Linked DNA regions of Drosophila melanogaster. The protein of the gene in region 1 purifies or fractionates together with the protein of each later gene. This does not show direct contact. Each region holds a gene or a part of one and is shown on either strand. Other genes may lie near its edges.

The links. The genes of interacting proteins can lie anywhere in the genome.
Region 2: the proteins of mnb (region 1) and Reps purify together in Drosophila melanogaster (affinity purification with western blotting; one study listed by BioGRID). This does not show direct contact.
Region 3: the proteins of mnb (region 1) and wap purify together in Drosophila melanogaster (affinity purification with mass spectrometry; 3 studies listed by BioGRID, with this or other methods). This does not show direct contact.

Annotation. Positions count from the first base shown.
Region 1 is NC_004354.4:17,871,585-17,877,554, forward strand, and holds the start of mnb (minibrain), read right to left. Parts: upstream 3,457-5,970; 5' UTR 3,296-3,456; coding exon 2,821-3,295; intron 1,817-2,820; coding exon 1,671-1,816; intron 1,170-1,670; coding exon 1,035-1,169; intron 1-1,034. UniProt on the Drosophila melanogaster protein: Role in the specific control of proper proliferation of optic lobe neuronal progeny.
Region 2 is NT_033779.5:11,099,680-11,108,916, forward strand, and holds Reps (RALBP1 associated Eps domain containing), read right to left. Parts: upstream 6,967-9,237; 5' UTR 6,535-6,966; coding exon 6,388-6,534; intron 6,333-6,387; coding exon 5,928-6,332; intron 5,846-5,927; coding exon 5,526-5,845; intron 5,458-5,525; coding exon 4,673-5,457; intron 4,602-4,672; coding exon 4,165-4,601; intron 3,731-4,164; coding exon 3,644-3,730; intron 3,491-3,643; coding exon 2,948-3,490; 3' UTR 1,284-2,947; downstream 1-1,283. Other genes in the region: Ge-1, read right to left, coding at 1-75, 338-546, 615-880; l(2)gd1 (lethal (2) giant discs 1), read left to right, coding at 7,386-7,442, 7,530-9,128, 9,187-9,237.
Region 3 is NC_004354.4:22,449,979-22,457,466, forward strand, and holds wap (wings apart), read right to left. Parts: upstream 5,445-7,488; 5' UTR 5,296-5,444; exon of another isoform or gene 5,082-5,295; 5' UTR 4,684-5,081; intron 4,609-4,683; 5' UTR 4,607-4,608; coding exon 4,416-4,606; intron 4,213-4,415; coding exon 3,753-4,212; intron 3,695-3,752; coding exon 3,513-3,694; intron 3,451-3,512; coding exon 3,252-3,450; 3' UTR 1,467-3,251; downstream 1-1,466. Other genes in the region: tilB (touch insensitive larva B), read left to right, coding at 39-885, 1,058-1,270, 1,332-1,449.

The DNA of each region.
Region 1 (5,970 bases):
TTGACTTCCGTTGAGAATAAGCTACATTTTAAGATGCCGGTTTAAATTAATTACAATTAAGTACGCTTTGTCAAAGAAAATATAGAATATAGTAGCTATCCTTAATGCCAGAAAGTGAAGGTTTTTTTTTTATTGGGAAAAGTTGCGTGCAACTCGTAAGAACTCAAACTGCGTGAAATATTAACATTTTTATGAGGCATGCGACATTCGCCCCACCCACTCAAGGCGCATAATCACCGATTTAGGTCGGCGGCATTTTGTCATAGCGTCATTTGACAGTTTCCATGAGAGGCCATCAAGAAACAAGTATTAGTTATTCGGGGGACGTTCTCGTTGAGAAATTTGGGAACTTGGCAGGAGAACCGAGACAGTTGCGTGTAGCATTTATGCTCCTTTTATTTATTTATTTTTTTTCGGCTGTTGTCAACCGAGGCGGCAGACGACGTCAATCGAAGCCAACTGCAAATGGCTGGCTGCGGGGGAACGGTGACGCTGTTGGGGGAATTGACCCCACGAACGGGTCAAGGACAAACGTATCTTTAGCCCAGCTCAACGCCACAAATATCCGCTGTCAGCAGATAGTCAGACAGCCGAAAAAAGAAAGCCACAAGACGAGAAAAGCCCCCGACGAAATTCCGATCGACATATAAGCGTAAATAAAAAAAAAAGAAGAAAGAAATCGGGATGGATGGATGCCAAGGTTCCTTCGTAGTTTTGCAGACTACAAGAACAACATCATCGCAATGGTAATTGATAAGGTAGACAGTTACATAAACTAGATAGAATATACTTTTTGAAATGATATGGAATCTTGCCAAGCTAAAATATCAATAGAATCACTATTTACTAATGCAAATGAAAACAGAAAAGTTATGTGCATTGTAACGACAAGAGAACCTGGTAAACATGATCCAAACTCAATATTGCCACGATAAACATAGGATTTTATGATCAAATATCCAATTATCAATTGGTTCTCATATGTTTTGCTTGTAGATTAACCAGATTAAACGCCAGTTATGGGCCACACTCACCTCGTTGATGTGCTTGTAGGTCTTTATCAGATCGACACTCAGCTTGCGCAAAGGTCCCGAGGCGGGCTCCCGAAAGTGGTTGGGAATCCGGGCCTGCATGGCGCGCACCTCCGACGAAGACGAGGGACTAGAGTGCTGTGGAATGAGATGGAGAACGTATTACTCAAACTGTTCAATAAAGTGATGCCCAGCTAGCTTTGGCTCAGATCGTGCTCAGATCAAATCATTTTTATTTTGAACACAATCTCTTTAATTTCTTAAAACAACATTATTAATGTACTTGCTAAGCTTCGTTATTAACATAAATACGCAGTCTTAATGGCCGCATTGAGAAAGGCAAAACCAGTCCTGAAAAATACCATTCTTTGTTCTTCCGAGGGCGCGGCTTTCTCAAATGCGCCATAAACCTTTCTAATTGCATGTTTTAATTTAAGTAGAGCATGGGAAAAAGTAAGTTCATATTCAACGAAGTAAAGTTATCTTTTACACGGCTCCGTTGAAATATTTGTGGATTTTTTCTAAACAAAAAATGTTCTACAATTTCTAAAAGAAAGAAACACAACTTCTGCATGTCCTTTGTGTGTAAATGCATGTTTTGGATTGAAGATAAGGATAATGCTAGTTGATAATACTCACATGGTGCATGACATCCCGGTGCGTGGCAGGCAGATCCTCTGCGTCGACGAATCGCCCGTAGAGTGGGGCGTGGCGCTGTCTTCCGCCCCCGCTTCCGCTGCCCTGCGCTGCGTCGACGCTGCCGCCGCTGGACCCATAAGCGGACACTAGAGCGTAAGAGAAAGGAAGAGATCAGAGATACTATCAGATATCGGCGGGAATTATACAAATATATATGTGTGTATATATAATTATTGCGATGTATTTGCTTGCCGCCTTCGTTGTGCGCCGTTCTGTGCTGGTTCATTGACCGGATCGCTCGGACACCGCTCCTCTGCAAAATGCACCTGTTTTCTTGCACACCTGACTACGTCAGCGTCAAGAGTTGCCAAAACGATAATAAAAGCAAAGGGTAGGGCGAAAAGTGTGGACACACACCGCAGGAAAAACACTGCCAATTCCCATTTAAGATCTGATATAGAGCCAGCCCAGAGTCATGCATTCTTTTTTTAACTCAAGATGCAAAATTCGTTCTAAAATTAGTTGTTGAATTGGTGGTCATACTAGTGAGTTAAAGATAGTAAGCACATGATGCTGCCATATAAAAAAAAACGAATTGGAACATTTCTCTTCCTTTCCGAAGAATCTACTTTTGCTAGCAATATTTTTTTCCTGTGCATTGGCAGGCCAGCAGAGGTAAGTAAAAAAGAAGCTCTACCTTAATTTTAGAACCAGACGGAACTGAACTGAAATTATTACACAATATGCAGGCGCAGATACATAATTCTGCCGTTTGTAGATTCTATTTCCCCACGTTCCTATGACCATTTCACATGCTCACTCTTTTTGTTTTGTTGCTCTTCGCTCTTCGTTCGCTGATGGCTTGTGCAACAAAAATAGACCCAACGTTATAAACAAGAATGAAAAAATCAAGCAACAGGGTAAAACCTGTAAGTGGCAGCAGCTGTGTTTTCGATGATAATCCGCGACATTTGATATTCCAACACTCCATTTCTAATTTCCAAAAAAACATGTGGCGAGAGCAAAGATACTTTTCCTTTCTATTCGTTGACTAATTGTGCAAACGCAAAAAAAAAAGTTGTCGGTCAGTTAAACTGACATGCAACAAATTTTTCTAGGCCAACTTCTCTGTTTCATCCAATGGGCTTACTAGTATAATAGAGTGCCCGTTCCGCCTTCATTCTCGATGATGATGATGACGATCCCTGAACCATCAGCACATTGCCATCGACCCGATCTCTATCTCTATCTCCATCTTCATCTACATCCCGCTTCACATCCAACAGCACCGTGTCCCAGGCACTTTTGGGCAGGAATTTAGAGATGATCTGATGGCCAGCGTCGTCGTCATCCGCCTGATCCTGATTGCCATTTGTTGGCCAATTTCTGACACGATGCTGGCAGCCAATTTGCGCCAAATAATTGATGTAATGAGGCGGATGATGGTGATTGTGGTGGCCGTTGTGCGGATGGTGGTTCAAGCTGCTGCTGCTGCTGGTGATGATGCTGCTACTGAAGCTGCCACCAGCTGCTGCACCAACCACGAATGGCGCCCAATCCGCGGTGGCCTTGTCAACCGGATCGCCGCCATTCATTGACTGCCAATAAACCAGGGCCGTCGACATATCACTGGCAATCGGAATCGCAATCGGAATCGCGAACGCACTTTGCACTAACCGCTTCCTTTTTTCAATCAAAATGATATGCTTATTTCGTTTATTTTTATATAGTTTATTTAAGTAATTTAAGATCCATTTGGATCTGGCTGTATGAAGCGCGGTCTGTTTCGTGTGAAAATTCAGCGCAAACTGCCTCGGTTTTTGTTCCCCCAGTTCTGTCCCCAAAGTTTGCCACTCGTCGTTGTTGTTGTTGTTGTCGTCTGTTTTATTTATACGGAACCGTGTTTTCTCCCTGCTCTTTTATTTCACTTGGTGTTTTTGCACTTTTTTGCTGCACTTATGCGGAACACACGAACGAAGCCGAGCGCCGATAGCGAGATTGCAGCAACGATCATCACGATCTCGGCGTGGTAATGATCATGAAGCTAAAGTAGGGAATGCCCGGCTATCTGGCATCGGAATTCGCTATATTAACACTACACTAGACTCGTTCAGTGTTGCACAATTGCATTTGAGTAAATGGGAAATAGAAAAATCTCTTGGTGATATCTCTTGGTCAAATCCATACCTTTCGACCTTTGTTTCGGAGTGCACATCTCTGGTGTTGAAGAAGCTCAACTGATTGAAACAGTGTTGGGTAAATACCTTTCAGTATCTCCATATTGATCACAGAGTTACTTGCACTTGCTTGTGATTAACCACAAACGAATAAATCGGTTTTCTTAGGTATTCTCCCCCATTATTGTTGGTGAAAAGCTCACTTCTGGCTGGCCTTTTGTTTTCTATCACAAGTGTTTTTTTTGACAGAGGGAGTTCCGCTTTTCGTTGATAATGGCATTTCAATAATGACATGTAGCGTAGTGACATGTAGCGAATGCATGTGGGGTAAATGGGGGAACGCTGGGTGGTTGTGGGTGGGAAAGTGCTCGCACTTGTCTCGTGCGCGCAAAGATACAAATATACATACATACATACATACATACATATGTAAGTATGCATTTCTTTGTTTCGGCTTTTGCGTCGTCGGCAAGTCAAGGAAATCAAAACAAAGCAAACGAAATGTGAAATTAAAATAAAATGTAATTAACCCCAGGCAAAAAGTGTGTGTACATAATGCAGTGCGTTACAAAACTGTATAACTGGTTGAGCTGCCACTTGGCAGAGTGGGCCATAAAAATAGGAAATCGTTTTCGAAACTAAAATGCCCAGTAATGCCAAACGATTTTGAAATAATTATAAACTTGTGTTCTTTCGAGTTATGTAAATGTCTGTCTACACGCCAAGCTAATTTGTGTTTTCCATTTCGCCAAAGCAATTAAAAAATATTTTGCTTTTATAATAAACAAATTGAACGCTTGCCAATCGATGGAAGAGTTGAATAATTAATGCGTTCGGGGCCCCTCGAAAGATTCGCAGGAGCATAGCCACCAGTCCCTCTATTTATAGGGATCCCATCCGATCCGATCCGATCCGATCCTCCGTTCGCAATGTGGGATCTTTGCCCCAAAGTTCTCATGTTCGTTGTTTGTCTGTCGCGTCTCTCGGCCGAAAATAAAAATAGTTGACGACATTTTGCGTTCGCTCCCCGCCACCTTTTTGGCCACTTGCATTTTGGGCGAGGAATGAGGGGGGGGGGGGGGATAGGGCCACTACCAACAATCACACACCATCGATAATTGCATCCGGAGCAGGTGACTCACATCGTGACGTGACTGCGACTGTAATACTACTATTACCCACCACTTGACAACTTTATGAACAGATGGCGGCGCCAGCTAATCGGATACTAAAGTCTCGACATATTTGGCAAATAATGGGGAAGTCCCGCATAGACTTACGGGTTTTTCAAAACAGTGCGGATTGGAACAAATACAGACGGTGACGGTTGAGTGATAAGCAAACAGTTGGACATATTATTTACTGAATGAATGCAGTGACATTGTTGCATTCCTCGCCTGAGCAGGAAAAGCGGTGGAAATGGTGGGGAAAGGCAGCCCAAATTAGCTGTTCGAAATCTGGCCATTATTTAAAATAGCACCTGATCCTGATACTAATTATTATTATCGGTGATATGCCCCATTTGCGTGGAATTATTGCAGAACATGGCACTGCCATCGAAAGCAGTAATATTGAACTGATTTATTCTCGAAAGGTAAATAATGTAGTATCGTTACAGCTGTACTACTGCGGCCACATTAACACCATTTTTTATCTTGGAATGTCAAGTGTATTTGCAAAATGACTGACTTTTATTTGATTTATAGTCAGTCCCCTCGTATTTACAATATAGCACTACAATTTTCGATTGGCACAAAGTACCATCTATATGGCAATAAAAACTAACTTCAATTTACACTAAAAAAATGATTGTACCGAATAAATTCGCAGGATATACTTCAATTGACAAAAAGAAGTGGTTATAAACTGGGTTTGCAATGGTGAAAGGTTGATGAAATATTTGGCAGTTTCTGGAGCGGTCCGAGCGATATGATCCTTAGTTTTTTTTTTTTTTTTTTTTTTGGAAAAGGATCAGTGGATAATACTTACGTTTCTGTTTATTCTTATCCATAACGCCGCCGCTATTCGTATCCTCTAATCTATACATGGGGATGATGTTTGTTGGTTTTGCGCTGATTAATGAATCTTTACTTGGTTTGTTGGCTCCTATGTATTACGCTATA
Region 2 (9,237 bases), on another chromosome or scaffold:
TGATCAAGGCTCGCATACTGGTGGCTATGTTGCATACGCGCACCATGCCCTCCATTCCGGTGGCTTTGTTGTTGACTGGGAGCACAATGAAGTTATTATACAATAGCTTTTAAATTAATTTTAAAATTAACACAAGGTAAATGGGTTCATAAGTATACATAATAATTAAACCATCATTCCCCGGAAGCTCTGTAAAATATTGATTGGGACATGATTCCCATCGATAAATTCAAGAATCATTCCTTTTTTATAAAACTCAAGAATTGCGAGAAAAAGTTGTCACACATAAATAAAATCTAATTGGTCAAGAAACTGCAATGGGATATAAATTACTTACCATTAATGGCGTACGCCAGGTGCTTGCCATCGCGGTGGACAGCGACCAGGTGACCCGGATAGTAGTACTTGCGCTCCCACTTGTAGTCGACGATGTTCTTTAGCTTGACCTTGGAGGAACCGCGTGTGTGAACGCCGCCGGATGTGAGGACCTTGGTCTTATTGGATCTAATAACGCGGCAACACTGCTTCTCTTGCGCTTGGAAATGGCTGTTAGGCACAAAAAAAAAAGAATTAATTAAGCAAGGGCCGTCTATTGGATAACCGGTGATACGCACATGACTTCTATTTCCTGGGGCTCTGCCGCATTGCCGTTGGCGGCAATCGGCTTGTCCTGTTCGGCGCTGTTGCTCATCCCGGATGCTGCGTCAATGGCTGAAGCAGTAATGCTGATGCAGGCGTCTGCTGGCGGTGGATGGTACGCGGTACTTGCTTTGCCACACCTTGGCGACCGGTGGACAGACGGCGGCGGGGAGGAGGAGGCTGACAAAGGCGTCTTACGAAAGATTGGCAAGTGTGCAAGCGCGAAGAGCGCGATTAACATTGACACATCGGCTGACTGCAGGTGGGAGGATGATACGGCATGGGGGTACACATTATTAATTTCGCCAGTTGATGAACAGCAACGACTCGCACACCAACCTGCCCTATCAATACGCAGCAGTCGAATGGTCTCCTTTACTCCTGCTAAATGCACCCAGCCGGTACTTGGTAAAACTGGCCTCCAGCAATTGATCGTCTACTTAGCGAAACTAAACCATTTAGTTGGCTGCTTCTCGTAAACTCACAAATTTTCGCAAAAAACTTTTTTTTTTTTGCCGCAAAACCATAGAGGTGTGTAGCGGCGTGTGCTAGGGCAATCGATGGACAGCGTCTGTTATCGGCGACGCGGATGCCAGGGATGGACGCTCAGCGAAACGTTCTTTCGAAATCAAGAAAACACGTTTCGGTTGCACTTTCGTTTTATTGCATTTTAACATCAACTTAATACATTTATCTTTATTCATAGAGATGTATATCCATCAAAACAATACACATTGATTACGCAGCGACGTAATAATATGTTTACATAGTGTTTCAATATCACTTTTTCTTTTCATATTACATTTTGTTTCGTTTCTCTTGTGTGATTGTGTGTGGTGGTAGGTCATTGAAAATGTTTAACAAGTTGAAGAAAAACTCATATATCTAATGGTTTAAATATGCAAAAGATGTGATATATGCCGGTATGTCTGATAAATTCAAAGTTAGCATATACGTACAGAATCAGTGGTCCGAGTAAATCAAATTTGTCTCCTGTTTCGGTAGAAAGAAATTTTGGTAATTGTAGATAATATCAAGTGTTATTGTGTTTTATCGTGTACACTATACAGATAGAAAATATATTAAGATGTATATATTTTTTGAAAAACCTAAGCTAAGCTTTCAAGGAAATGAATTTCTTTATCGATTTTTTACCTTTCACTTTTCTAATACTTAAACATTAAGCCTGGCTTCTTTTTAGGTTCGTTTTTTGTAGTTCTTATTTTTGAGTTAATGTTTTTTTTGTGGTTTTTAATTTTCATTGCCGGAATGAATAGAAGGGACATTTTCGAGGCATACACAAAACAGTAATAAATAGCAAATGGAGAAGTAAAATGTCTTCGCAGCAGGAAATATTACACCTGGGATTGGACCACTTTGTGGCAGTTTCATTAATCACTAGGGTGAGGGTGAGATACGGAGTGCGGAGTGGCTGTCAAGCGAAAGAATTGTGTGTCATTTACTCGTAACAATTAGGAGAAGCGCATATACATATATCTCTAAATATACATATACATACATATATAAATCGATCTGCATAAATATCTATAGAGGCGGCATTATTGTTGTTGTTCTCGCATGATTTGTTTTGTGTTCTTGAGATTTAACTAGCCTACAAATTAAATTAGCAACTTCAATGCATAAACGGACGAGCTATCAGATCCATCGCTGGTGTTTCTACCCGCTTAAGACTGAGCAAGCTCTTGAGTAAACAAATGGTAGTTACATAGAAGCTGTTGGAACTTTCAGATCTGGCGAATATTTATCTGCAGACTGTGTAAATATTTTCACAACGAAATTTTACGAGCCTACTCAAAGATTTGCCCAGTCTTATCGTTGTGTAAGCACCTCGAATCGTAAATTGTGCTTGCAACATACAGAAACAACAAAATAAGTGTTTAACATAAAGGTGAATCGATTTCTTTCAGTGCATGAACAAATGAATTAATACTAATAGCATGAATTCATTTCAGCTATTTGCCTTAAATCCGAGGATTTCATATTAAACTTGGTCGTTATCAATTTTTTCTCCGTTTTTGGTAATTTCAATTAGTATTCAAATTTAAGGGAAACTAATTCGTAGTTTTTCTGAAATCTTACGCCCAATATGTATCTAATGCAGTTTAATGTGCAGAAAAGAGGGAAATATACTAATAGCTTAAAGAAAGTATAACAAATTATAAGGAATGTTAAATTTTGGTTCGAGACACTTAAAATGGTCGCAAAAATACACACACAGGCAAACGAAAGTCACATATCGCCCAAAAATAAATCGATTCACCCTCATTCACATGATCATTTTCGCTGCTTAAACGTTGGTATAAGCAGCTCCTGCCGAACCAGAGGATCCACCGGTCACGTTTGCTGTCACCGGTGCGCAAATCGAGGAGCTCGTTCGCCCTGTACTATCACTGGCATTAAGTCCCTCCAGCTTGAGACGCATCTCCTCCTTGCGCGTCTGGACGCTCAGAAGTTCGTCACTTAAATCGTTGCAAAGGTGGAGCAGTGAGTTGTTCTGCTCCCGCAGCCGTTGCAGTACTTCCGTGGTATTGGCCTGACCCTGTTTGAAGGACACGTGACGTAGCGAGTCACTGATGGCGGTTACTCGCTTCTCAAAGCTCTCAGCACTGGGCAGCTGACCAGTTTGGGTGGTCAAACCAACAGCTGGAGCCGGCGGTGGCGGCTGCTGGGGCGGCGATTGCGATCCACGTGGCGTTTGCGGCTTTCGGTAAACCTCGAAGGCAGAAACGCGCTGCTGTGCCTGCTGAAGAGTGATTCTTGTGGGCGGCACCACTGCTGCCTGTGGCGGTGGTGCTGCCGGCGGCAAGGAGTGTAGCTGCTGCTCGTCCACCTATAAGGTCAGAGTACCAATTAGTAAGACAATCATACAAATGGATGCGTTTATTTATATAAGCTACTGAATTTGGACACATGACACTAGTGGAGCTACGGCCAATTGTAGTGGAATGCTTTACGAGTTGCATACATTTAGGATTGGACTTACGACGTTCGCGGCGCCTTCGTCGGCAAAGTGCGTGAAATCGGCAAACCCCGTTGAGGTTTGCATATCGAAGCTGGCCTGCGCGGTGATCTTAACAAAAGGGGTTCCATATTTATATACATTTCACAGGTTATAGGTAGGTAGTTAGGCAAAATCAAGCAAACAAAAAACACAAAAACAATATAAGCAAATTCGGTTTCCCGAAGTTTACGGTTTCCTTTGCAAATGCTTAACAATTGTGGACTCTTAAAAGACACTGTATTTTCATTTCAATAAATTGAATCTGTAGCAAAACTGTATTCGCCTTCATTTGCACAGTACACCACAAATATTGAAAACAGAGACGGAACACACGGAATGTTTTGGAAGTTCCTTAGTTTGTTATAGCATTGCAGGGGATAAGTGCGGATCTACGAAATACTATCCCCTACAAGGCTTTATTTAATGACCAAGGCATATAAAACGACACAGATTGAAATTCTCAGATAAAATTGGAAATTGTTGGTCCATAGGACATAACATACCTCCGCCTGTTGGGCACCGCCCGTTGCGCCTATTTTAAACTTGTTTAAGTCCAGACTGCTGCTCCGTGCATGACGATGTGGCCTTGGCGGTGGCAGAGGCGGTGGCTCCTTCTTCGACGCCAAAGACGATGCCACGTAGGCAGCCTGCGGTTCCTGCGACTCACTTGGCCCAGTGGATCCGATACTGGGCTCGCGTTGCGGTGGCGGTGGCAATGCACTGTTCTTGGCCGGCAGCTTTTTGGCTTGAGGCCGTTGGATGGCACGCAGATCGCTGCTATCGCGGTGGGAGGAGCCAGCGACTCCCGATATTCCGGGTACAACAGCAGATGACTGATTATTGACAGTAGTCGAAGAGATGGCCTTGGGACTATCCTCGCGCTGAGCCACCGCGCTCTCGTTTTCGTTAGATGACTCAGCTGAGGAAGCGATGGCGGTGCCTACAGATGAGATAAGGAATAATTATATTTATATTCAATTTATAGAATACTATTTTAGTTCTTCTACTCACCAATGGGCGTCACTCTTAGCGGCACTGGGTGCAGAATCTGCGGATTGGATACCACGTCTTGGGCCGAGCGCTTCATATCAAACAGGACTGGCTTGAGCCCGGGACTAGATGCGCCAGAAGCGGCTGCTCCGGCTGCTACAACAGGTGCTGCCCCAGTGGTTGACTGTACCGAAACCGCACTTGTTGTTGGAGATTCGCTAAACTTTGTCCACTGACTGGAGACGTTGGTCGAGTCTACAGCGCTTGCCGTAGAGGAAACAGTTCCCGACACAGGTTTTTCCACATTCGGCGAGTTTGAGATGCTTCGGTTCTTGCCCAAAGAATTCTGTGGTGTTGCCTCACGTTTGGAACTGTTGCTAGCCTGCGAGGACGTGGATATGCTGCTCAGATTCATGATGTTCTTGTCGCTGGGCACATTGGGACGCGGTTTGCTGGTCGTACTGCTGCCGCTGAGATTGCCTGCTATGATTGTATTATCCGTATGGTCGTCCTCATCGTCATCATTTAGGTGCAGGAGATCAGCCTCAGGTGGCTCCTGAGGCAGCGCCGCCGATGACGAGGATGTCACCCCCTGTCCACTGCCGGACGCAGCTGCTTGTAGCACGTTGGGATGCAAACAGTGGGGCAGACTTGTGGGCAAGGGAATGTTGTTGCGCCGTAGAACCACCAAATGCATGGCGGCCGTAAACTCAGACAGACTTAGCGCTCCATCGCGGGTAACGTCACACAACTGCCAAATGTGACGTAGCTCCTCCACAGGAATGCGGCTCTTTTCAAAAAAGTTTCTAATAAAAAAAGGAATAAGAAAATAATAAGAAGAATAAAGTTATAAACGTTCCTAAAGCCAACTTACCTTGCTGCTTGGCCCGAAAGCAGACCATGCGGATCCCTTTGCACCGTCCTGAACTGCTTATTATAGTACTCGCGCTGTTCCGGGGTTATCTGGTAAATGGTCACCAATTCGCTCTCGTTGTCATCGTCGTCGCTGCTGTGGCGATCGGAAGACTCTTCCTCCGTGCCTAGCAGCTGGCGATGCTCGTCGCCCAGCAAACCCTGCCAGAGGGTGTCCTGCGCCCAAGGCCGCTCAGCCACGCTGTTGGTGGGCGTGGGGCTGTCACTGTTAGTGCTCCAGGCTTCTGGCGATCCACCACCAGTACCGCCTCCTCGTCGTCGCTAAAAGAGATAAGGCATGGACGGGGATCGGTCAATGGTAAGCTTATTTACAAATGTCACAAGATAAGATAGAAGTACAAACCCCGACATTTTCGCGGCTGCTGCTGCTGACGACCCCACAGCCATCCGTACCTCGTCCATGGCCTGTCGCATCGTCCACTGATTCGTTTTGCTCAACCTCGGAGTCGGTGCTGGGCACATCAGAGGTGTCTTGCAGCTGCTCTTGCTGCGAGTTACGACGCAGTGAATTTCTGCGATCTGTGGGTGGTGGCGGTGGCAAGGCAGTCAATCCATTTTCGACAGCCACCGGAGCTGTAACCGCCTCCTTCCAGCTAAAGTGCGGTAATGGAAGCGGAAACGTGGCCAAGATCAGCTCCTGGCGCAGGGGCATGGCCGCCTGATGAGCAGCGATTAGCTTCAGGCATGAGTAGAACTGTGTCCGCGAGATGTGTAGCGCCGTGGAGGGTATCCCCGCCAGACCGGTGATCTATAAGCCCAGACCCAGATAATTAATCACTCACGATCACACAAATTGGACCTACCTCAATCACGGTCTCATTGGCGATGTCCGCCGAGCGAAAGAGCTCGGTGGCCTTAAGCATGGGCACCTTGCCTGTCTTCTCCACGTCGCAGCATTGGAACAACTCACTGTAGAAGCGCGTCTCCGGCTCAGTGAGGGACACGTCCATGCCTGTCGCCTACTTGTTGCCGTCTCTGGTTTCGTTTACCAAGCCGCTGGTTAACGAGCCACGCCCCGTTCGTCCGTCCTGGACCCGGAATCCAATTCGTTTGTTTACTTCCACGTTTAACCCAGCAGGCCAGTGCCGACCCCGCTGCCCCGCGCTGCTCACAACCAGAAGTCTGATGATTTTCTGCCTTTGGCCCCCAAGACGGAGTTGGAGGAGGTGGAAGCTGGGAGAACTGCGGGGACGATGGTTTCGCTAACTTCTTGGTGCCACCACAACCACGATGGTTAGAGGATTCACGGCACTGGTCGACGAGGGTACACCTAGTGCCTCAAGCTGCTCGGCGCACAATCAATTTGGCTTTTTGTCCAGGTTTTTTTTCGCAAACTCTTTTGCACTGTGTGTGCGCTGGCTCTCGATATCGATAGGTTGCGGTATCGATTCGATTAGACAGCTGGCGCGGCAGCCCTGTACCTGTTAGCGTTTCGCAGCCCTAGTTACCGGCAAAAGTTTAGTTCCGCAGGATTGATGTTTTGTAAGGTGGCTTACCATGTTCATTTATATTTCATTATGGATTAAACTATAATAAAATTTAATGTTGCTGAATGAAGAAAAAATCATTTCTTCATTATTTTTAACGATATTTTTTTAACCGTCAACAAATTTCCTGTAGCCCTGTGCCACTGACGTCACCAATTCGCAAAGACTTTCCTGCGTCACCTTTCGTTGCACCACAGTGATCCCCACTCTGTTATTGTTGTCTGCGGCTGAACTGTTGCGACGCAAAAATTTAAAGGATTTGAAAGTCTTTATAGACTTATTTTAGTTAATAAACAGCCTCTGTGCAATCAAGGATGTTCTCCAGAAAGAAGCCAGAGCCAGCGAAAAGAAGGCAACACGATTTATCGCAGGTGAGAGGAAAAACAAACAGTCTAGATCCGTCTATTTATTAATTATGACTCATCGTTTGGACTGTCTTTTTTGTTTTTTGTGTTTAGTTCGGTCTTACGGAAATCCCAGATGATTTTGATCCCAGCGCTGGATATGGTGAGGACGATGGGGGTGACAGTGATTTGGAGGCAGAGCTTGCGGCCATAACCGGCGGAGAAGGAGCCAAGCCAAAGCCCAAGCCCAAAGCAAAGCTGTTACCCGCCAGTGATTTGGACAAAATGATAGCCGACAGCTTGCGTGATGTCAGCGACGATGATGATGATGACAATTTGGAAAGCGATCCGGATCTTCTTGGCGAGCTGAGCGGAATCGGTGGTCTAGAGGAGGCAGAGGAAGAGGAGCCTGTCGCACAACCGCCAGCTGCCTCTGAGGAACCCGTCCAGACCTTTCTGCCCACGACGACTGTGGACACATTAAGCATTATCAAACAGCGCCTGGAAATGTACAAGCAGGCCGAGGCCAATGCCAAGACTGCCGGCGATTCTGGCAAAGCAAGGCGATTTGGAAGAGGCCTTAAGACTCTGAAAGATCTGCACAGGCAGGCAGCGGCTGGCAAGTCCATTAACGTGGATGACATTCCACCTGAAGTCAGTGTAAAGCCAATTGGCGGGCAGGCTCCTCCAGTGCCTGCAGAGGAGTCACCAGCTCCTTCCACACCTGCTTCCCCTCCGCCTGTGCCTAGTCGTGCAGCTCCAGATCCACCAACCCCCGGCACCCCCGTGGAGCCCACTACATCTGTGGCTCCCACATCTCCCCCTAATCCTCTTGTGACGCAAATGCGCAGCCGCCAGACGGACTACAAAGCTGCTGCACTGCAATCTAAGCGCAGTGGTGACATATCTACTGCCCTTCAGTTTCTCAAAGTGGTCAAGCAATTTGACGTAGTTATAAAAATGTGTGAAGACGGACAGGAAGTTGATTTGAGTGACATGCCCCCTCCACCAGCTGAGTTTCTTGAATTCCTTAAAAAAATGCAAGAAGAAGCAGCCGCAGAAGCTGTCGCAGAACCTACTGCTGCCCCAGAACCCACACCTGTTGCTCCTGCTCCTGTTCTAGCAGCTGCAACAAATATGTTGGAGGCTCTGCAGCAACGTTTAGAGAAATATCAATCTGTAGAAGCGGCAGCCAAGGCAGAAAACAATAGCGGAAAAGCAAGACGCTTTGGAAGGATTGTGAAGCAATACGAAGATGCCATAAAGTTGTACAAGGCAGGCAAACCAGTGCCTTACGATGAGCTGCCTGTGCCACCAGGTTTTGGACCGCTGCCTACGGCTGATGCTGCTCCTGTCGCGCCGACACCGTCGCTGCCCACTTCGCCTACATCTCCACCGCCAACAGCAAGTACTTCCGCAGGAGGAACACCCTCCAGTTCCAGTGCGACGACACCTACAGCTCCTCGAAAAGCACCTTCACCTCCTAAGCCCAAAGAGTTAACAACACGCACGTCTGGCAATCAGCAGAAGAATAATATTGCCGAGCAACAAATGAAACTGCTCCTCGAGCGCCAAAAGGAGTTTAAGCTAGCTGCTATAGAGGCCAAAAAAGCGGGAGAAATAGATCAGGCGAAGGAGTACCTCAAGATCTTCAAGGGATTCGATTCCCTTCTTAATGCAGCGAGTAGTGGATTGCCAGTGGACCTCAGCACTGTAAGTTTTGCATTACATCTTCTTCTTGTATGGCTAACTATATATTTTTTTTTTTCAGCTTCCCGTCCCGCCTTCACAAAGGGATAATCTAGAAGCCTCCTTTGCCATT
Region 3 (7,488 bases), 4.6 Mb from region 1:
GTAATGTTAACGTACCAATTAAACTGACTAATCCGCAGTCACCGAAGAGCTGGTCCGCAAGAAATCAGAGCACAATGAACGTCTAATCAGCACGCTGGAAGAGATCTCCTTGCACCAGGAGGACATCGAGGTAATTGAACACATCCAGAACTGGTGTCGCGACCTCAAGATCCTACTCCTCCAATCCAACCTGATTGCGCGCCTGGAGAACTTGCACAAGCTGAAGCGCCTGGAGTACCTCAATGTGGCCATCAACAACATAGAACGAGTGGAGAATCTGGAGGGCTGTGAGTCGCTTAGTAAACTGGATCTTACTTTAAACTTTATAAGAGAGCTAACCAGTGTTGAGTCGCTATGTGGCAATTACAATCTCCGCGAGTTGGTACTCATTGGTAATCCTTGCGTGGATTATCCGCACTACAGGGACTACGTGGTGGCCACCTTGCCACAGCTGAACAGTTTGGATTGCGTGGAGATCACTCCCTCGGAACGTCTGCGAGCGTTGCGGGAACTGTCCAAGAACCGGTCCATCATTGTTCAGAAGCAGGTAGAACAGGACATCGAACGTGATGAGCAGCGTATCCGGGTGGCGAAGCAGCAGTCCGCTCTGGCTGAACATTGTGCCGGCATAGAGGACGAAGAAGAGCGCATAAAGGCCTTTTGGCAGGCGAAGAGCGAGCACTGCCCGGAGATTCGCACAGAGATCGCTCGGCAACACCGATTGGGACGGGAGCGGCACGAAACCAAGTCCCCACTGGACCCTCTGAAGCCACAGCGCAACCTCTTCGCTCCTTGTGGCAGACCCTACAATCTGAACCAGGCCAAACTGCCCTTTAAGTTTCGGGATGAGGCCGACCATTACTTGCTCCAACTGGAGGTGTACAGGTAAGCTAGGCTAAGATGTCTTAACCAAACTTATACATATCTTACAAGTTATCACCAACATATTACATATGTATATCGATATTGGTATTGCTTGATCGTTTCTACGCCCCAATCATATACATACACTTCAAAATTCTTAATTAATATTGCATATGTATATTCCTTCGCCCAGACACCTGGATACCTCTCTAATTGACGTCGATGTGCAGACCACATACACTAGAGTCACCGTCAAAAAAAAGATCTTCCAGATCGCGTACAGCGAGGAGGTCAAGCCGGATGAGTCCACTGTGCAGCGTTCCCAGATTACAGGTCACCTTGTGGTCAATCTTAAGAAGCTAAAAGTTAACGAGCTGCTGATAGCCAAGAAAAGCCCGACTAAAAGGTAAGTTCATCCAGTTCATTGTATATCATGAACCACAAATCCTAGCTACCTTTTCATGTAGCCCTGCCGCCCCTTTTGATGCAGGAAAAAAAGATGGGAAACCGGAGGAAGCGTTTCACGGAGGAGTAGTGGACATCAGCAACATTTGTGCACCCGAAGATCTTCCCGATTTAATTTGAGACTGTGTTCATTATTTAAAAATGGTTTATTTAAATATTTGTCTGATTTGGTTTGTTTTCTCAAACTCCTCAGTGATCTTTTGTTTTGTTTGGTTTTTGTGATCCATCCATTCCATCGATCAATCATTAGCTTTCTAGTAAATACTTTAGCCCGATCGGATGCTCATATATATATGCGCTTGAGTGTGTGTGTGTGTGTGTGTGTGTGTTTGTGTACATATACATTTCATATATAAATGTAACGTAAGTCGGATAATGCAAAACAGGGCACACGAAAATAAAGATTAAATTAAAAATTATATTCTAACTTGGTTTTTTTTCGATTATTTTTTTTACGGAAACCGTGGTTTGCCAAATTAATGAAAATGTCTTCGCCTAGTGGCTACGAGCGTATAAAATATATCCAATTCCAAATTCCATAGACTTGATTTCAGTTTCTTACTCTTCTGCAGCAAACGAAAAAGTATTCGGATATGAGGATATAAATTCCCGTGAAGTGGCCTCTTAAATGGCTATACAAAATCAGGGCCTAAGTTGGTTTTCGTTTAAAATATGCCTTTCATGCTGTATTTACAATACACGATCATCGGGATTATTATTACTGCTATCGCTTTCTGTATACATATTTATATATAAGTTGTGAAATTGCTATAAATTACAAGATACATAAAAAAAATGTATTCGATTTTATCTGAAAAAGTCGCTTTGTCCTGTGGAAAGTATGGGATGTGGTTAAGATTTGAGATTATTGATGGAGGGTCGTGTCTTATCTGAAATGATCATAGTTTGTTTGCTTATTTTCGCTCGTTTGTTAAATGGATATAGCAACAATCTTGTATTCTCTCTCGCTCATATATTTCGGTATTTGTTTTATCTTTTAGTTTGTATCTTTAAATAGTATTGTATTCTAGCTGTGTTGTGTGCAGTTCGTCATCAGTTTCCTGGTTTGGTTTTTAATCTTTAATCTATGTAAGTATTTCGCTTATTTCTTTAATTCATTTCATATTATGTTTGTTTTGCAATTGCTTAAGTCCATGGTTTTGCTTTTGTTTTTCTTTATCTCTTGTTTTTGTCGTTTTTCCGTTTTTTGGATCTGTTACAAAAATCGAACAAAGTAAAAATATTTCGAAAAAGCGTTGTTGCCGGCTACTTTTTTACCTCTCATTTTTTGTTCTCTGTGTATTTTTGTGGTTGTTGCTGTTTTGACCAGACTCGAAAACTCGATTAACAGCATTCATGTTTGAAAAAACGAGGTAGGACATTGTGTTATAATAAATATGATTTCTTTTTCTTCTGCATTCCATTTGGGTTCGTATAAAAACGAAATAAAAAAGATTAAGCGGCTCTAATTGATTGGAGTTTTCGGGGGTGTGAGTGTCGGGATTTGTCAAGTGTGAAATAAACTACAATTATAAAACATATTTTGGTTATACCTTATATAATTACATACTTGTTAGATCAACTCAGCTAAGAATTCTAGAATAAGTGCTTCGTCCTCTTCTCTTTCCCTCAAACTCATATCTTTCTTTTAAGCCCTTTCTCTTTCCATTTCTCTGCCTCTATATCCGTCACTTTCACATTTTCTCTCTCTCGACAGACAGTAAAATTAAACAAACTGCGGACGCGTGTTGACAGAACTAATCCAACTTAAGCTCACTGCTTTCCGCTTCCAAGTTACCAACAGCAAATGTATGTTTATTTGTGGGTGTTGTGTGTTTTTCTGACTTGCTTCTTTGTTGACTGTGCGTTGTTCAGCAATTGCAGTCAGGTGCTTCAGCAAGGACCAGACCAAAAAAAATTACTTAGACCCGCAGGATCTCGCACGCTTTGTTATAGCAAATGGCTATCCAGTCGGGCTGTGTGGCACCCCACTGAATCTGATTGACTTCGCCCTCGGCAGCTGTATAGGCTAAAATTGGATCCTCGATTGCACGTGGCATTTGTTGTATATCCCAGATCAGTGCTTGGTGATCATCACCGGCAGTGCAGATGTGACAGGAACTGCAAACCAAAATACAAATTGTTTAGGCACATTTTAGGTTTAAGGAATCTTATAGTCTCACCTATGCGGCGCCCACGCAATACCGTTGACGCACGCTCTGTGATTGCTCAGTCTTGCAACGGGTGTACAAGGAACACGAACATCTAAAATTATTACTTCGCACGAGTCCATGGCAACGGTGGCTAAGTAGTTCGGGTCCTGTTTGTTCCAGGCCAAGCGCAGCAGCGCCGTATGAGCAGGATCCTATTGGATTTATCGTTATGTAGTCATCCGTTTTTGTGTTTTCGCGCGTTCTACTTACCTCATATATAATGGTCGAGTGCTCCAAGTGCCGCAGATCAAACATGCGCACCGACCCGTCCGCTCCCACCGAGGCAAACATGTCCCGACCGCCGCCGGCCCGCGAAAAAGCAATGTCGTATACTTCCTTGTCATGGGCAATCAATTGCGTCTTCACGTGTCCTGCCACATAGACGCGAGCGTGCGGCTGTCCGGTCTCCAGTCCCCAGATAGTGCAGGTTGTGTCTATCGATGAGGTTCCCACCAGATTGGGATCCACCTCGTTCCAATCAAACGAAGTGAGGGGAGCGCAAAAGTCGCTGTTCTTGTTGTTATTCAGTACGCACTCGAGCCGCGTGTCCGGTTCCCCGGCACGCCACACCCGCAAGTAGTCGCCACTGGTGGCCAACAGATCCGGATAGACACCCTTGGAGTCCGGGATCCACATGATCTTGGTTGTCGGATATGGATGATCAAAGGTGCTATTTGAAGAAGAAATAATCTGTCAGTGAGGAAGGGGATTTCGGAAAAATGGTTCGTATAACCAAATAACTATTCATATTTAAAATGATTACAATAATATCAAAACTGCTTATCATTTTATATTATTTTTTAAAGATAATATACGAAATATAAAATGAAAACAGAAAGTAGAAGGGATCAGCTAAACAAATATTCGGTATACCTCTTAGCACTAAATTCGCTGGTGTCCTCGTCCAGGCTGATGATCTGTACCTTGTTGTTGTACTCCTCGATGAAGCTGCCCAGTGCGAGCCGGAATCGCTTGTCCGGCCTTACACTCCAGTTCATGGAGTACAGTGGCCATGGCGCGAGATATTTGTAGATCTCCTTGCGCTTTCCGGCGGTCGAGGACATAACTGTAGATATGGAAAAGGATCAGCATGAGAATCTAGGACTCGTATTCGAATTCGGAGTCTGGATCAAGAACCCACCTGAACTGTGTGATTGGATACGGATATCCAGACCAAGACGAAGATCAAGACTTGGATGACAAGGTGCTGCTGAGTTTTCTCAATGCCGTTTAGCTGGTGGCCGGCCTAATGACGACGAGCTCCTTTGGTGATGATGACGACAATGATGATGATGGCTGATAATGACCACTCACAGCAGCGGACAACTCAAGAAAACTTCATGGAATGGGAAACAAAGGTCTTTGCTTGCCACTCGCATTTGCACACTTTACCGGCTTGCTTTTCCTTGGCTTTTCCTGTAGCTTTCCTCTTTTCCGAGATTCACATCATTTTGTGCACTGGCAGTATTGCCAGCTCGCCCGTTTTCCGACTAGAGTCCGTCCGTCCGTTTGCCGTCGTTATTCCGGCGAAATTTAGGTCTGGAGGACACCGATCGGAGAAGTCGAACTGTACTCAATCAACAGGGCGAAGGAATTAATTCAACGGCGTGCACATCGCGACCGCAACGCATCCGTTTGGCCAGCAAGTGGAATTGTGCCCGGCACTCCGTATAAGGTGGCAACACTAAAACGTAATGCGACGCGAAAATTCGTTTGTGGCGGTCCTTCGATGGGCAAGCTGCCCCGGTTTTACCTTATAATTTGGTTAAGTTTCCAATCCAACCACAGTTTTCTGAAACAGCACGGTCGGAATTACACGGAATTAGTATTCAAAGAACTTTTAATACATTCTTTTCGACAGAATTTTCACACAAAAACAGTGTGACCGCGCAGATAGCTATAAGAAATACCTTGTGCAAAATCATTGTTATATACCAGATAAACAAAATACTATTTATTTAAAACAAAATTCTGTATTAAATTATATTGAACTGTAATATATAATATTCTAGGCTTGACTTTAGTCTAATTAAGAATTGAAAGTTGTGTGTTTATTTCCACCCAGAAATCTTTTCCCTGGAACTGGAAATATAATTCGATTGGCGTTTTGTGCAAAAACTATTAAGTTTGAAGCATATTTTTCAAATCCCATATGATGGAATTCTGTGTAAATGGAACATTAAGAAGGCCTCTGCTCATCTGTTAGCAAGTACACCAACCATACATGCATCAGGCATAGTTCTTCGATAGTTATCGAAGAACAGTTAACCTATCTTCAAAATCTAGTGACGGTGACTTCGTTTCGGCGTGCGGCCACACTAGCAAAAAAAATAGGATTAAAAAGTGAGTTCTGTGTTGTGCAAAAAAAAATTGCTTTAATTCGACCGGAAAAAGGCCCTTTTGCGGTGCAAAACGATGATGTCGCTTGGCTGGCGTTAAAATTTGTGGGATATCATTAAGAGACGGGACTTTCGGCAGCGCGACCTCGTTCGCCTCGTGATGTTCGTTTTGCGGTCAAATTTTCACCTTCGCCACCCATCCCCTCGCCCATTTGTTTTCTATCTTAGTATGAATTTATACACTTTATATACGCATTTGCCTTTGTACATTTTTTGTGTTCCGTGGATGTATGAAAAATTCCTAATAGCCGTCGTCGTCACTTTTCCACTTTCCATTTTGAGAAAGATATTTCACTTTGCGTAATTCGTACGCTGCCTGGCGCCTGTGTGTGTGTGTGTGACCGTGTAGCCAATAGTGCTACATCGCTCGCGCGCACAATCTCGGCACTGTTTTACTACTACCCTGGCTCGCCCCCTCTCCCTCACACATTTCACTGCCAAACGTACGCGCGTGTGTGAGTGCACCTTTTAAAAATAGAATCTCATTTCGTTTCGTTTTATATATTGTTTTTGCTTTTATCACAATTATTTCGATTTTGACGTGCAAAGAATGTATGAGTTTTGTGTCTAAAGAAAGCGGCTAATCGTGGTAACCGTTGAAAAAGTTCAGCTACACCTGTGGGTACTCGCGTGCGATTGTGTGAGCTTGGATAATTCAATTTTTTTAAGTGAATGTGTGTGAATGGGCTGTAGTGTAGTTGTAGCATTTTATGAACGAAAGATCGATTCGTGAAAGTGTGGCCATCTTATGTTAGTTAAGGCCTACCACCCGCTTCTCCCATCCCCCTGCACTACACCACCCGCAGAGCCTTACACTTGTGCATGTATGTATGTAAAAGCAACGGTTTTCTCGAATGGGAGCGTAGACAGCCTGGCGGCACACACACGAACGTAACTTCATTTTAAGTGTTACCGCATAAGGACAGCCGTCCGCGTCCCACACCGCCCCTACCCAGTTCAGCCAGCCAGCGTCACACTGAAGTTGTTGTTATGGCAAACTTGAAAACGGCTTTTCTCTATTTATTACTATTTTGCGATTGTAAACAAGTGTCGATCGGTTTTCCACTCTCCGCCTAACTGTTCATCAGGGACAAATCGAAGGCCACAAATTCCCGAGATGTGCGTGGGTGTTTTTTGCGCTTGTGAAAAATCAATCGTGGGAAGGGGAAGAAAGACGAGGAGTTCCGCTTGAAGGGTTTCGCATTATCTTATGCAGAATTCAAGATAACCTTGCGCCTGCAAGCCTTCATTTCTCCAATAAGTGAATCAAATGTAAACGGACAAGGTCTTGACAATTTAGAATTGTTTGCACTACTAAAAGTACCGTCATAAAAATGTGGTTTTGATTAAAAGATGTTCCCTCATTAGATCATTTACACTGGGCATTTTCCAATCTTTTGGGTATATTTTTGATAAAGAAGTTAGAATATTATGGTCCGATTAGTATGAGGTTTTGAATTCGAATTAATTTGATAAATAGGGCCTTCTAAAATTCCATTCTTTTCAGTTTCGCCTACAACTTTAGCAGCAACAAGAACGGGTCTTAG